Callithrix jacchus: one gene and its partners. The protein of the gene in region 1 interacts with the protein of each later gene in a pairwise test. Links are inferred from orthologs where the notes say so. Each region holds a gene or a part of one and is shown in the gene's direction. Other genes may lie near its edges.

What was found. The genes of interacting proteins can lie anywhere in the genome.
Region 2: the proteins of TRIM41 (region 1) and MEOX2 interact in binary tests that used the Homo sapiens proteins (3 or more experiments, as listed by UniProt). The two-hybrid records come from large-scale screens. The link is inferred for Callithrix jacchus from reciprocal best matches to the Homo sapiens genes TRIM41 and MEOX2.
Region 3: the proteins of TRIM41 (region 1) and ZBTB48 interact in binary tests that used the Homo sapiens proteins (3 or more experiments, as listed by UniProt). The two-hybrid records come from large-scale screens. The link is inferred for Callithrix jacchus from reciprocal best matches to the Homo sapiens genes TRIM41 and ZBTB48.

The regions. Positions count from the first base shown.
Region 1 is NC_133503.1:73,626,484-73,630,786, reverse strand, and holds the start of TRIM41 (E3 ubiquitin-protein ligase TRIM41), read left to right. Parts: upstream 1-1,501; 5' UTR 1,502-2,218; coding exon 2,219-3,028; intron 3,029-4,303.
Region 2 is NC_133512.1:42,792,484-42,796,794, forward strand, and holds the start of MEOX2 (homeobox protein MOX-2), read left to right. Parts: upstream 1-1,504; 5' UTR 1,505-1,783; coding exon 1,784-2,297; exon of another isoform or gene 2,298-2,338; intron 2,339-4,311. UniProt on the Homo sapiens protein: Mesodermal transcription factor that plays a key role in somitogenesis and somitogenesis and limb muscle differentiation. Required during limb development for normal appendicular muscle formation and for the normal regulation of myogenic genes.
Region 3 is NC_133508.1:44,471,200-44,475,261, forward strand, and holds the start of ZBTB48 (zinc finger and BTB domain-containing protein 48), read left to right. Parts: upstream 1-1,255; 5' UTR 1,256-1,318; exon of another isoform or gene 1,319-1,400; intron 1,401-1,796; 5' UTR 1,797-1,865; coding exon 1,866-2,555; intron 2,556-4,062. Other genes in the region: TAS1R1 (taste receptor type 1 member 1), read left to right, coding at 1-839. UniProt on the Homo sapiens protein: Plays a critical role in transcriptional regulation and chromatin remodeling. Acts as a regulator of telomere length. Directly binds the telomeric double-stranded 5'-TTAGGG-3' repeat.

The DNA.
Region 1 (4,303 bases):
TTTCGCACCAGGGACCTTTCACATGTGAGGCGAACGTGATAACCACTACACTACAGAAACCACCTTAGCTGTTAGCGTACGGCATTGTCCTGAAGATAGACGTGACTGCGAAGGCCGGGAGAGGGAGAGGACCGCGCCCTTGTAGGACAGGACCAGGGACCCGTGCCGCGGCCAGCTGAGCGGTGGTGTCCCAGTTCTGGGGCCGTACTTTTCTACTGCAGCAGAGTACGCAGCTCCTGGCATGGCCTAGCATAGTTCACCCACGAGGGTTTGTGGTTTTGGTACGTTTGATCTGACATCCTCAGAGGCCGGACCACCCCCGTAGGAAGCACGACACCCATCTGGAGTTTTCCCGCGAGCCGCCTTGAGAGCCGAGTAAGTTCTGCAGGCCCAGCCCTGGCGTCACACCGTGTCCGACACTCACTGGAGATTCTGTACATAAATCATGGCCAATATTTATTTATTTATTTATTTATTTATATACTACTGACATCAACAGTCGCTATAAAAATAAAACTTAGGCCAGGCGCGGTGGCTCACTCCTGTAATCCCAGCACTTTGGGAGGCCGAGGCGGTGGATCACGAGGTCAAGAGATCCAGGCCATCCTGGTCAACATGATGAAACCCCATCTCTACTAAAAATACAAAAAATTAGTTGGGCATGGTGGCGCGTGCCTGTAATCCCAGCTACTCAGGAGGCTGAGGCAGGAGAATTGCCTCAACCCAGGAGGCGGAGGTTGGCGGTGAGTCGAGATCGCGCCATTGCACTCTAACCTGGGTAACAAGAGCGAAACTCTGTCTAAAAAATAAAAAAATTAAAAAAAATAAAAAAAACTTAAGTCCGGGCGCGGTGGCTCACGCCTGTAAGCCCAGCACTTTGGGAGGCCGAGGTGGGCGGATCACGAGGTACAAAGTTCAAGACCAGCCTGGCCAAAATGGTGAAATCCCCATCTCTACTTAGAGTACAAAAAGTAATCGGTCGCAGTGGCACGTGCCTGTAATACCAGCTACTTGGGAGGCTGAGGCAGAAAAATCGCTTGAACCCGGGAGGCGGGGGTTGCAGTGAGCCGAGATCGTGCCACTGCACTCCAGCCTGGGCGACGGAGCATGACTTTGTCTCGAAAAAATAAAATTTAAAAAGCTATCTAAGCAACAAATATTATTTCGACTGCACAAAGCATCTATTTTTGCAGAGATGCTGTGAGAATGTAGATGTAATGATTCGTCACCACTTCTTTATTGCTGGGCAGTTAGGGAAATTCATCTAAACCATGAGACAGCGTTGGGTTTGCAATTTCTACCGTGGATGCGGAATGCAGAATACAGTTGGAAGGGTGGGGCGACTGCATCCCAACCCTCGCCGCGCTTTCTCAGGCCCCGCCCCCAAGTCAGACCCGGACGATCCTCTGAGTCCTCCACCACAAAGTCGTCTGCCTAGAAGGGCCGGAAGTACGTCAGAGCGCTCCGCGGACCCACCCCTTCGCTTCCGGCATCGGTTGTTGGGAGTACCGGCAGCAGTCGACTGTGCCGGGTGGGTAGGATGGCGCCAGGCCGATGCTGTCATAGCACCGAAGGCAGACGGCCACCAAGCGCTCCCTCCTCCCCCAGAAGTTTCTCCCCAGCGGCCGGGGATGGGGGTAGGCGGTTCCTCTGTTCTCTCTGCTTTCGCCCTGGCCCCGCACCACAGAGACGTGGGCCTCCACCGTCCTAGCCCTCCCGCCCTGTTCTCGAATGCGGGCTAGAGCGTCTCCTCGCCGTTTCCTGTCGTCCTGGGGCCCCAGGGGGAAAAAGGGGGAGTAGCACGACAGCGGAGGAAAGTCGCGAACTTAGGTGGTGTGTCGACGCCGGAAGTGTTTGGAAGGAGGCCGGAAGCTAGGGGCGGGGCCAGGAAGTGAGGAGGGGCGGGGGTTTATGAGGAGTCCAAGGGAGCATTGGGACAGATTTGCACCCAGAGCCACCTGAGGGACTTGAAGGTGGCGCCCAGTTCGGTCCCCATCCCTCCCCTCCCCTCCCCTCGCTGAGACACGGTTGTCGTTCGGGAGTAGGGAACTCTGTGCGGCGGTGTGGGTTGTCTGGAGGACATCTCTCTGGCTGCTCTTGGAGCAAGGTGTGGAGGGGCAGGGCTGGGGGTGGGGCCGGGTCGCCCTGGCGTCGGTGGAGGAAGACCCCCGCCCCCTGCCCCCCACCGCACCTCTACACTGGCTGGCTGGACACTAAGATGGCTGCCGTTGCCATGACACCCAACCCTGTGCAGACCCTTCAGGAGGAGGCGGTGTGCGCCATCTGCCTCGATTACTTCACGGACCCCGTGTCCATCGGCTGCGGGCACAACTTCTGCCGAGTGTGTGTAACCCAGTTGTGGGGTGGGGAGGATGAGGAGGACAGGGATGAGTTAGATCGGGAGGAGGAGGAGGAAGACGGAGAGGAAGAGGAAGTGGAGGCTGTGGGGGCTGGTGCAGGGTGGGATACCCCCATGCGGGATGAAGACTACGAGGGTGACATGGAGGAGGAGGTCGAGGAGGAAGAAGAGGGTGTGTTTTGGACCAGTGGCATGGGCAGGTCCAGCTGGGACAATATGGACTACGTGTGGGAGGAGGAGGATGAGGAGGAAGACCTGGACTACTACTTGGGGGACATGGAGGAAGACCTGAGGGGGGAGGATGAGGAGGACGAGGAGGAAGTGCTGGAGGAGGATGAAGAAGAGGAGCTAGACCCCGTCACCCCACTACCCCCACCTCCCGCCCCTCGGAGGTGCTTCACATGCCCCCAATGCCGAAAGAGCTTTCCTCGGCGGAGCTTCCGCCCCAACCTGCAACTGGCCAATATGGTCCAGGTGATTCGGCAGATGCACCCAAACCCTGGTCGAGGGAGTCGTGTAACCGATCAAGGCATCTGTCCCAAACACCAAGAAGCTCTGAAGCTCTTCTGCGAGGTAGACGAAGAGGCCATCTGTGTGGTGTGCCGAGAATCCAGGAGCCACAAACAACACAGCGTGGTGCCATTGGAGGAGGTGGTGCAGGAGTATAAGGTGAGAGAAGTACAGAGAGAAGATGGGAGTTTAGTGGGGGGCGGAAAGGAAGTAAGGGGAGCTGGGAAAAGGAAAATCTCTTCATCCACCAAAGACCCTGATAGCACTGGTGAACTGTGTTTGCTTATCTAAGCACTTACTGCCACCGGGGTGGGTTAGAATGAGAAGGATCCTGTATACCGAGCAGATGCAGTGAAGACCACCAGGGAATGGTGGCTTTTTCAAATAGAGCAAAGCAGGTGATGCCAGATCAGGTCCCTAGGGCGTTATCAGCAGTCTCCTTTTCTTTCGGGTGAGTCTTAAGTCTATCCTTGACGGAAACACTTAGAGATGGAAAGAACTGGGGGCTTCAAAGAACAAGGAAAGGCTCAAAAGCAGAATACAGAGATGACTGCTAGTATTCAGCGTCAAACCCAAATGCCCTGTACTTAACTCCCAATGGTTTCCCCTCCCACCACAATATGGCTTGGTTCTGCCTTCAAGGACTTTGGTTGATTCTTCTGTGTCAGTCTTATGTACTGACTAGAAAAGAGGAGCTTTTCAGTCAGAAGACCTAGCTCTGCAAGTTGCACTGTCAAATCTTGGTTAAGTGTCTGATCTGAGTGTCTTTGAACTTTAATTTCTCCAGGATTGATAGTTACTTTTCACTGGACGTTTGTATGTATACCTGGCACTGTACTAGGCACTTGTCATGGACTGACTCATTAAAACCCAAACAACACTGTAAGTTTGATAGGTTTTCCATTCCCATTTTATAGATTGGGAAACAAAGTGAGAGGTTTTAAGTACTATACAGAAAGCCACAGAGCTTTAGTAATGATTGACTTGGTTATTTACCATCCCTTCTCCTGGTGTATATTAAAAATGCCACCACCATTTGGATGTCTGTTGTTTATCTTTTCTGATGTGGGACTTTCTTGGAGTTTGATTCTAGTTTGGCTAATATCTTGTCCCCTACTTCTCATTCTGACTCTTCTTTGGACATAGGTAAAGGAGATTTGTCTGCAAGGCAGCCAGCACAAGTAGCACTACTTAGTGAAGGCCTGGATGGGTTTGAATCAGTGGGACCAGGAGGAGGAGAGGGTAGCCTCTGTGTGGTGTGCACAGAGCTTTTTTGTTTTATGACTCACGTTTTTACACCTTCTCCTGATTCCTACTATAAGTTCATTTAGGTATTATTTTTGTTACCCCAAATTTAGAGTAATGTGTCTGGGGCTTCTCAGCTCTGAGTGGTACAATTAGACAAACCTACATCAACTCATCAAAAGTAATAAT
Region 2 (4,311 bases), on another chromosome or scaffold:
CTTAAAAGAAAAGATAGGCTTAAACAGGGGGACTGGAAGAGGAGAGGAAAGGTTCTGCTTTGGGGACACCTCTCAAAGATTAATCAATACTTTTTCCTAATTCAAACCAGATGTCTAGCCCAGTTTGCTGTACCCATTAATCCCATTAACAACTTCAAAGACCTGGTCACCATCCTCTGGACACCTGAGACAATGAAAATAACAGGGCGACACTGCTGGTGGTGCAGTCGGGGCTCCGGGTGGAATAGGTGACTACAGATATTCTCCTGATCCGACACGTCCCAGATCCGACGTGACTGTTCCTCCTGCTCATTAAAGCCCATTCACTTGTGTATAAACGACTGTGCCCCAGCGGATCTTGTCGCTCACCAAGCAAGTGGCAGTATCAAAGCCCTGCCCTCGCTCTCCCATGCTTACTGGAGGCAAGTTATCGAGTTTATTTTCAGGGATGCAAAGATGTAATCAAGCGCCCAAGCTTAGTGAATTCTTAGAGCTATCGAAATTTAAGATTTCTCAGTAAATGGAGCAGTGGTGTTAAGAGACACGATTAGTGGATTTATTTTTGAGCAGAAGAGTGGATTTCTAGAGGGAACTGAAGAGACCTGGGCTAGCTCCGGAGGGGAGAGGCTAGAAATGTGCATGCAAATCTACACATCTCATGTGACTGGGACAAAATCGCTTGGAAATAATTCTTGACCCAGGAAAATTTCTTCTTGGTGGACGAGTGGCTAGGAAATTGAGCGAGACCAGGAAAGCGGGGGGGAGGGAGACTCCACCGGGCATCGCACGTGAGGATGCCAGAGAGCAGGCATCTGCAATTCGCGCTTACCTCCCACCCACCCCACCAGGTCTTCCTTAGGTCTTCCTCTCAGGTCTTTCCGCACTGTGAACCACACTTTCCAGGCCATGGTGCACGTCCCCGAAACCTCAGACCTGGCGTCCCAGCCTCTTAACCACCACCCACAGAAACTAACTGCGAAAACCTAGGCGCGCGGCGGCGCCCTGGGCACGGGAAGATGCGAAGTTTGAAAAACTTCCAGAGTGCGCCAGGCTAGCTCTGATCTTTTCCTTTAACCCTATCACTTCTTTCGTGTTCCTCAAAGGCTAGGCGTATCCCTAGCTTTTCTGCAGGTGACAGTTCCCAAATGACACTGACAAGTTACGTTTTCCCAAGAGAAAAATTAGTAGGTGGGAAACAGGGTGCTGGGTTGGCGCTGGTGCGCGCCGCGCCCTGGCCTCCAGAGTCTGGAGGGCAGAGCCGCTGCCCTCCCGGGCGGGATTTAGACGCTGGCGCGCCGCTTGTAGTCCTGGTAGCTGGCAGGGCTAGGCGGGCGTGGACGCTCTGCGTCTGTCCAGCCGGCGATAGGAAGTGGAACTGGGAGCGCGTGGCGCAGACTGAGCGGGAGTTTTGGAGGGAGTTTGCATGTGGTCAACTCTGGGCTCCTAAGCCAGCCCCCAGCTCACGTTACAGTCTATTTATAACCTCTCAGAGCCATTTCCCCCTGAAGGCAGTTCACTGGGACCACCTTCTTTTGGCTTCAACCTCTCCCACTCTTGACATCTGAGTAGCTCAGGGAAGCTCTTCCAGGTCCGACTGTTCATATGTAAAGGAGACTGGCCGTTAGGGCTCAGGACCGGGATTATCCGAGCTCTGCAGAAGTGCACGGCTATTGCTTTGAGAGGGGTAAAAAACATCACACGGTTTCCAGTGAAAAGTGACAGAGGGTGGTGGCCTTTAGAACCGCCGTGAAGTCTTCTGCCTGGAACCCGAAACTTGCATGCTATGGAACACCCGCTCTTTGGCTGCCTGCGCAGCCCTCACGCCACGGCACAAGGCTTGCACCCGTTCTCCCAATCCTCTCTAGCCCTGCATGGAAGATCTGACCATATGTCTTACCCCGAGCTCTCTACTTCTTCCTCATCTTGCATAATCGCGGGATACCCCAACGAAGAGGGCATGTTTGCCAGCCAGCATCACAGGGGGCACCACCACCACCATCATCACCACCATCACCACCATCAGCAGCAGCAGCACCAGGCTCTGCAAACCAATTGGCACCTCCCGCAGATGTCCTCCCCACCGACTGCGGCTCGGCACAGCCTCTGCCTCCAGCCCGACTCCGGAGGACCCCCAGAGTTGGGGAGCAGCCCGCCTGTCCTGTGTTCCAACTCTTCCAGCTTGGGCTCCAGCACCCCGACCGGGGCCTCGTGCGCGCCAGGGGACTACGGTCGCCAGGCACTGTCACCTGCGGAGGCGGAGAAACGAAGCGGTGGCAAGAGGAAAAGCGACAGCTCAGGTAAGAGAGCGCCAGGCACCCTCGAGAGTGCGCGCCGGCCTGGAAAGGGGGCGGGGAGATGCCAGGGAAGAGTCTGGCCCTGGAGGGTGGCGGCGGGGAAGAGGGGAATGTGTTAAATTCGGCGGTGAAGCTTTGGTCCTGTTATTTGGGGGCACGTGTTTATCCGAGAGCAACACAGCTAGCAGCTCTAAGCTCTCCAAGGTCCTAAACTAGTTTACCAGAAGGTTGATAAAAAAGGACAAGTGGCTGTGAAATCGATTGCGAAGCGTGACCTTCCATCCCAGCGCGGGGGAGGGAGGGGCGTGTGCCCAGGGATGCCGCGTCCGTTGGGCAGGCGTGCGTGCGTGCGGGTGCTGCTTCTTGACTTTTCTCTTGCAAGTTCCCGACTCTGAGTGGCTTGACTTTTCCCATCGTAAACTGGATTTCCAAATTATTGCACAATATTTGGAACTTGCAATGGAACTTGGCAGAGCACATGAGAAAAAAAAAAAAGTTTTAGTTTTTTTTTTTTAAACATTCTTGTTTGAGAGTTCTTTAAATAGCACCCTATTTCAAATGGTAAAAATTTCCCCTTCTTAGGGAAGAAGATATTATCTAGGAATTCAGATTTTAAGGAATGTGTCAGAGAATTGTAAATAAATACATGCTCACGCTGGAAGAAAGACGAACCTTAATATAGTACATGTTCATGTTGTGTAAGTTAATTACAGAATCTAAATTTCAAGAGTGGAAAATAAATCCCTCTACCAAGTTGGTTTTAGCTGCGGCAAATACTGGGTAGCGAACAGCAACTTGGGTAGTGTCAGTTAGCTACGTGCCTGAAGGTCGTATGCAAGGGTGCGCAGGAAGCGCTGATTTCAGTGAGGATAATTTGAGCAGCCACGCAAAAGGGGAATCTTCCTGACCTCTGGTGCTTGAAGGCACAACTTGCAGAGTAAATTGTAGCAATCCAGAGAAACTCAAAGTTTTCCAGACAACTTTTCAAAGCTCTGACCTACTTCTATTATCATAAAATTGTTAAAAGATACTTTAAAATTGAGAGACTTGTGAGTTTTCTTTCGTGGCTATGGTGCACCCTGGCTTCCATCTTTTTGGAAGGTATTATTTGTTTAATATAATATTTGTATATTTTTCTTCCTCTGCGGAACTGGGTTAATAATAGTCCTAGAAGGTAATCCCATATATTGGTTTGAAGGATTGGAATGTTTATGCTTTTTAAAGCTTTAGGTGAGATGTCACATAAATGAAAATGATTGACCGCATGTTTAATATTCCTCTCCCCTTCGCAGCAATATCAATCGTTCTTCAGCGTTAGTATGGGATAGATTCTTCTGTCAGAAGAATAAAATAACTTTTATTTTCCAAGGATAGGGGATGAACTTTTAATGTTCAATCACAAATTAGTTTTTATAAGAAAGTTAGCAGTGGTGTCACTGATATTTACTGTATTTTCCTAACTATAAGTGAAACTCCCTTTAGATAGTGGAAGGTTAATCGTTGTAAGAAGGTTTCAATTTTTATTAGAAAAACCGTCGATTTTAGAATGCAGTGACAATTTTATAAACTGAACATTCGATATCAGTGTAACTTTTGAAAGAGATCCCAGTTCAGGCTGATGAGAGTACTCTTGCAATTCCCATAAGCCCTTACTGTTCATTTTATTTTTCTGCAATGAGAAACCTACATGATAGCCTTATGCTTCCGGAACTGAGCCACTGCCCTTAAGTTTCTTAGGGCAAACAATTTTCATGCAAGCACATGTTATTTTGTTTGGGGGAAACCAAGAAAATGGAATTCAATAACTGATTTCCTTAATTTATTTTAATAAAACTTTTTTTTTTAAAAAGGAATAATTTAATAACATTTGTCTCTTCCCCCAACTGTGTGGGAAATAGCCATTTAACAAAATTAAGTTCATTTCTACATGTTGAAGCTGATAATGAGGGTAATGGAAAAACAAACAAATATAAGTGTTTGTGTCAGCTGAATAAATTATGAATAAATTAAAACTTGA
Region 3 (4,062 bases), on another chromosome or scaffold:
ATGAGCATACCTCTTGGGTGCTGCTGGCAGCGAACACGGTGTTGCTGCTGCTGCTGCTTGGGACTGCTGGCCTGTTTGCCTGGCACCTAGACACGCCTGTGGTGAGGTCAGCAGGGGGCCGGCTGTGCTTTCTGATGCTGGGCTCCCTGGCAGCAGGTAGCAGCAGCCTCTATGGTTTCTTTGGGGAGCCCACATGGCCTGCATGCTTACTGCGCCAGGCCCTCTTTGCCCTTGGTTTCACCATCTTCCTGTCCTGCCTGACAGTTCGCTCCTTCCAACTAGTCATCATCTTCAAGTTTTCCACCAAGGTGCCTACATTCTACCATGCCTGGGTCCAAAACCACGGTGCCGGCCTGTTTGTGATGATCAGCTCAGCTGCCCAGCTGCTTATCTGTCTAACTTGGCTGGTGGTGTGGACCCCACTGCCCACTCGGGAATACCAGCGCTTCCCCCAGCTGGTGGTGCTTGAGTGCACAGAGGCCAATTCTCTGGGCTTCATCTTGGCCTTCCTCTACAATGGCCTCCTCTCCATCAGCGCCTTTGCCTGCAACTACCTGGGCAAGGACTTGCCAGAGAACTACAACGAGGCCAAATGTGTCACTTTCAGCCTGCTCTTCAACTTCGTGTCCTGGATCGCCTTCTTCACCACGGCCAGTGTCTACGACGGCAAGTACCTGCCCGCAGTCAACATGCTGGCTGTGCTCAGCAGCCTGAGCAGTGGCTTCGGCGGGTATTTTCTGCCCAAGTGCTATGTAATCCTCTGCCGTCCAGACCTTAACAGCACAGAGCACTTCCAGGCCTCCATTCAGGACTACACGAGGCGCCGCAGCTCCACTTGACCAGTGGGTCAGCAGGCACGGCCGGCAACCTTCCCTGCCCTCAGGGTCGAAGGTCGAGCAGGCCGGGGGTGTCCGGGAAGCCTCTGGGCTCCTCAGTCTGGTGTTAGGACGTGTAAGCGCCCGGGAGAGCCCAGAGCAGGCTCCGGGCTGCCAATAAAGAAGTGAAACGCGTATCTGATTTCCTGTCCCGGGAGAGGGTGAGATGTAGCCTATTGAAGTCTGAATCCAGAGCCTGGAAAAGGCTGGGCGCCTAGCTTGACGTTGCTAGGCAACTCCGGAGGCGGGTCCGGCGCCGAAAGAACAGGGTTTGGCCTCGTCCCCGCATCGCATTGGCCATTCTCTGCAGGGTCCCGCCCTAAGGGGCTGGCGCTAGAAACTCTACGCTTCCCAGGCGCCCCTCCTGGCAGGCACGCTCTGACGTCACGTCCGGCGCGAAGACGGCGGCGTCTCCGCACGGTCCGCGGGGCACGCATTGCCAGGTAGTTGGTTCGTGGGCTGTGGAGGCGACGGAGCCGGCGGCTGGTGGGGCCGGCTCGGCCGGCTTAGGGAGAACCTGCCTGGGTGAGAGGGCGCGGGGTGAGGGAGGGAGGGGCTGCGGGCCGCCGTGGCTGCCTTCCGCTCGGCCGCTCGGGACCTGTGGCGCGGCGTGGGCCCCGCTCACCTGTCCGCGGCCGCCGCCCTCCCCCTTCCAGGATCCTCTCGCTGTGCCGGGCCAGTTAGTTCGCGCTCATCCCGTGCCTCCTTTCCCCAAACTTTGATTTCTCCCATCAGGCCCCTCTTCACGACCCTGGACCCCATCAGCATCCCCCCGGCCAACCCAATATGGCCCCTGGCCCCCAAGAGGCTCTCAGTGTGTTCTTGCCCTCCGCGTGCACCTCTCACCTTGACCCAAGCCCTTGTGCTGATAAATTTGATTGAATAGAGGACAACTTCCCCTTTCTCTCTTTTCGACTACAGGGGCTTTATCTTGCATACCCTCGCTTGGGCTGGCCAGAGTGTCACTTCTGCCTCCCTGTCCTCCAGACCATGGACGGCTCCTTCGTCCAGCACAGTGTGAGGGTTCTGCAGGAGCTCAACAAGCAGCGGGAGAAGGGCCAGTACTGCGACGCCACCCTGGACGTGGGGGGCCTGGTGTTTAAGGCCCACTGGAGCGTCCTTGCCTGCTGCAGCCACTTCTTCCAGAGCCTCTACGGGGATGGCTCAGGGGGCAGTGTCGTCCTCCCTGCTGGCTTCGCTGAGATCTTTGGCCTTTTGTTGGACTTTTTCTACACTGGTCACCTCGCCCTCACCTCAGGGAACCGGGATCAGGTGCTTCTGGCAGCCAGGGAGTTGCGAGTGCCAGAGGCCGTAGAGCTGTGCCAGAGTTTCAAGCCCAAAACTTCAGTAGGACAGGCAGCAGGTGGCCAGAGTGGGCTGGGGCCCCCTGCCTCCCAGAATGTGAACAGCCACATCAAGGAGCCGGCAGGCTTGGAAGAAGAGGAAGTTTCGAGGACTCTGGGTCTAGTCCCCAGGGATCAGGAGCCCAGAGGCAGTCATAGTCCTCAGAGGCCCCAGCTCCATTCTCCTGCTCAAAGTGAGAGCCCCTCCTCCTTATGTGGGAAACTCAAGCAGGCCCTGAAGGCTTGTCCTCCCGAGGACAAGGAACCTGAGGACTGCAAAGTGCCCCCAAGGCTCTTCCAGGCTGAAGGTGCCCAGCTGCAGGGCCGGAGTAATGAGGTACTGTGCCCAGGGTACTGGGACTGGGAAGGGAATAGAGGGAATAGACAATTTTTTGGTATAATAGGGACCCTGGGCCTCGTGTGGTATGTGATGGCTGACTCACACCTGTAGTCCTAGCACTTTGGGAGGCCAAGGAGGATGGATCACTTTAGCTTGGGAGTTTGAGACTAGCCCGGGCAACATGGTGAGACCACATCTGTACAAAAAAAATCCCAAAATTAAGCCGGGCATGGTGGCTCACACCTGTAGTCGTAGCACTCTGGGAGGCTGAGGTGGGTGGATCATCTGAGGTCAGGAGTTCAAAACCAGCCTGGCCATCATGGTGAAACCCCATCTTTAAGAAAAATTTTTAAAAAAAGAAAAGAAAAATAAAATAGGCTGGGCGCGGTGGCTCACGCCTATAATCCCAGCACTTTGGGAGGCCAAGGCGGGTGGATCACGAGGTCGAGAGATTGAGACCATCCTGGTCAACAAGGTGAAACCCCGTCTTTACTAAAAATACAAAAATTAGCTGGGCATGGTGGTGCGTGCCTGTTAGTCCCAGCTACTTGGGAGGCTGAGGCAGGAGAATTGCTTGAACCCAGGAGGCGGCAGTTGCGGTGAGCCGAGATTGTGCCATTGCACTCCAGCCTGGGTAACAACAGCGAAACTCCGTCTCAAAAAAAAAAAAAAAAAATTTAGCCAGGTGTGGTGGCACACACATACCAGTTGTCCTAGTTGCTCAGGAGGGTGCGGTGGGAGGATCACTTGAGCCCAGGAAGTAGAGGTTGTAGTGAGCTGATATCGTGCCACTGCCCTCCAGCCTAGGCAATAGAGCAAGACCCTGTCTCAAAAAAAAAAAAGGAAAAAAAAAGCCAGGTGCGGTGGCTCATGCCTGTAATCCCAACACATTGGGAAGCCTAGGTGGGCAGATCACAAGGTCAGGAGTTTGAGACCAGCCTGGCCAATATGGTGAAACCCCGTCTCTACTGAAAATACAAGAAAAATTAGCTGGGTGTGGTGGCAGGCGCCTATAATCCCAGTTACTTGGGAGGCTGAGGCAGGAGAATTGCTTGAACCTGGGAGGCAGAGGTTGCAGTGAGCTGAGGTTGCACCACTGCACTCCAGCCTGGGCAACAGAGTGAGACTCCATCTCAAAAAAAATAATAATAATCTGGATCCCAAAACAATCTCTGTTAACGTGGGTTTGGAACAGGCTTTTTCCAAACGAAGCTGGTGACCTCAGGCTGACCTTTCTGCAAGCCCCCGCTGTTCATGGTTGCCACCTTCCTGAAAGTAGTGGGCAGCATCACGGTTACAGGTGTTTCCCCAGGGTGGTGTTTGCAGCCGAGCTTCCGGTTTCCCCCAAACAGAGCCACTTTCCTCCGAATCCAAGATTCAGATGCTCTCTGCCCTAGGCCCCTGAAAGAACAGTCCCTGATGAAGGGACTTGTCAGGGTTGGAGTTTGGGATGGAACTGGAGCTGGGTCCCTATAACCCCTGTTGATTAATTTGGACCCCACCC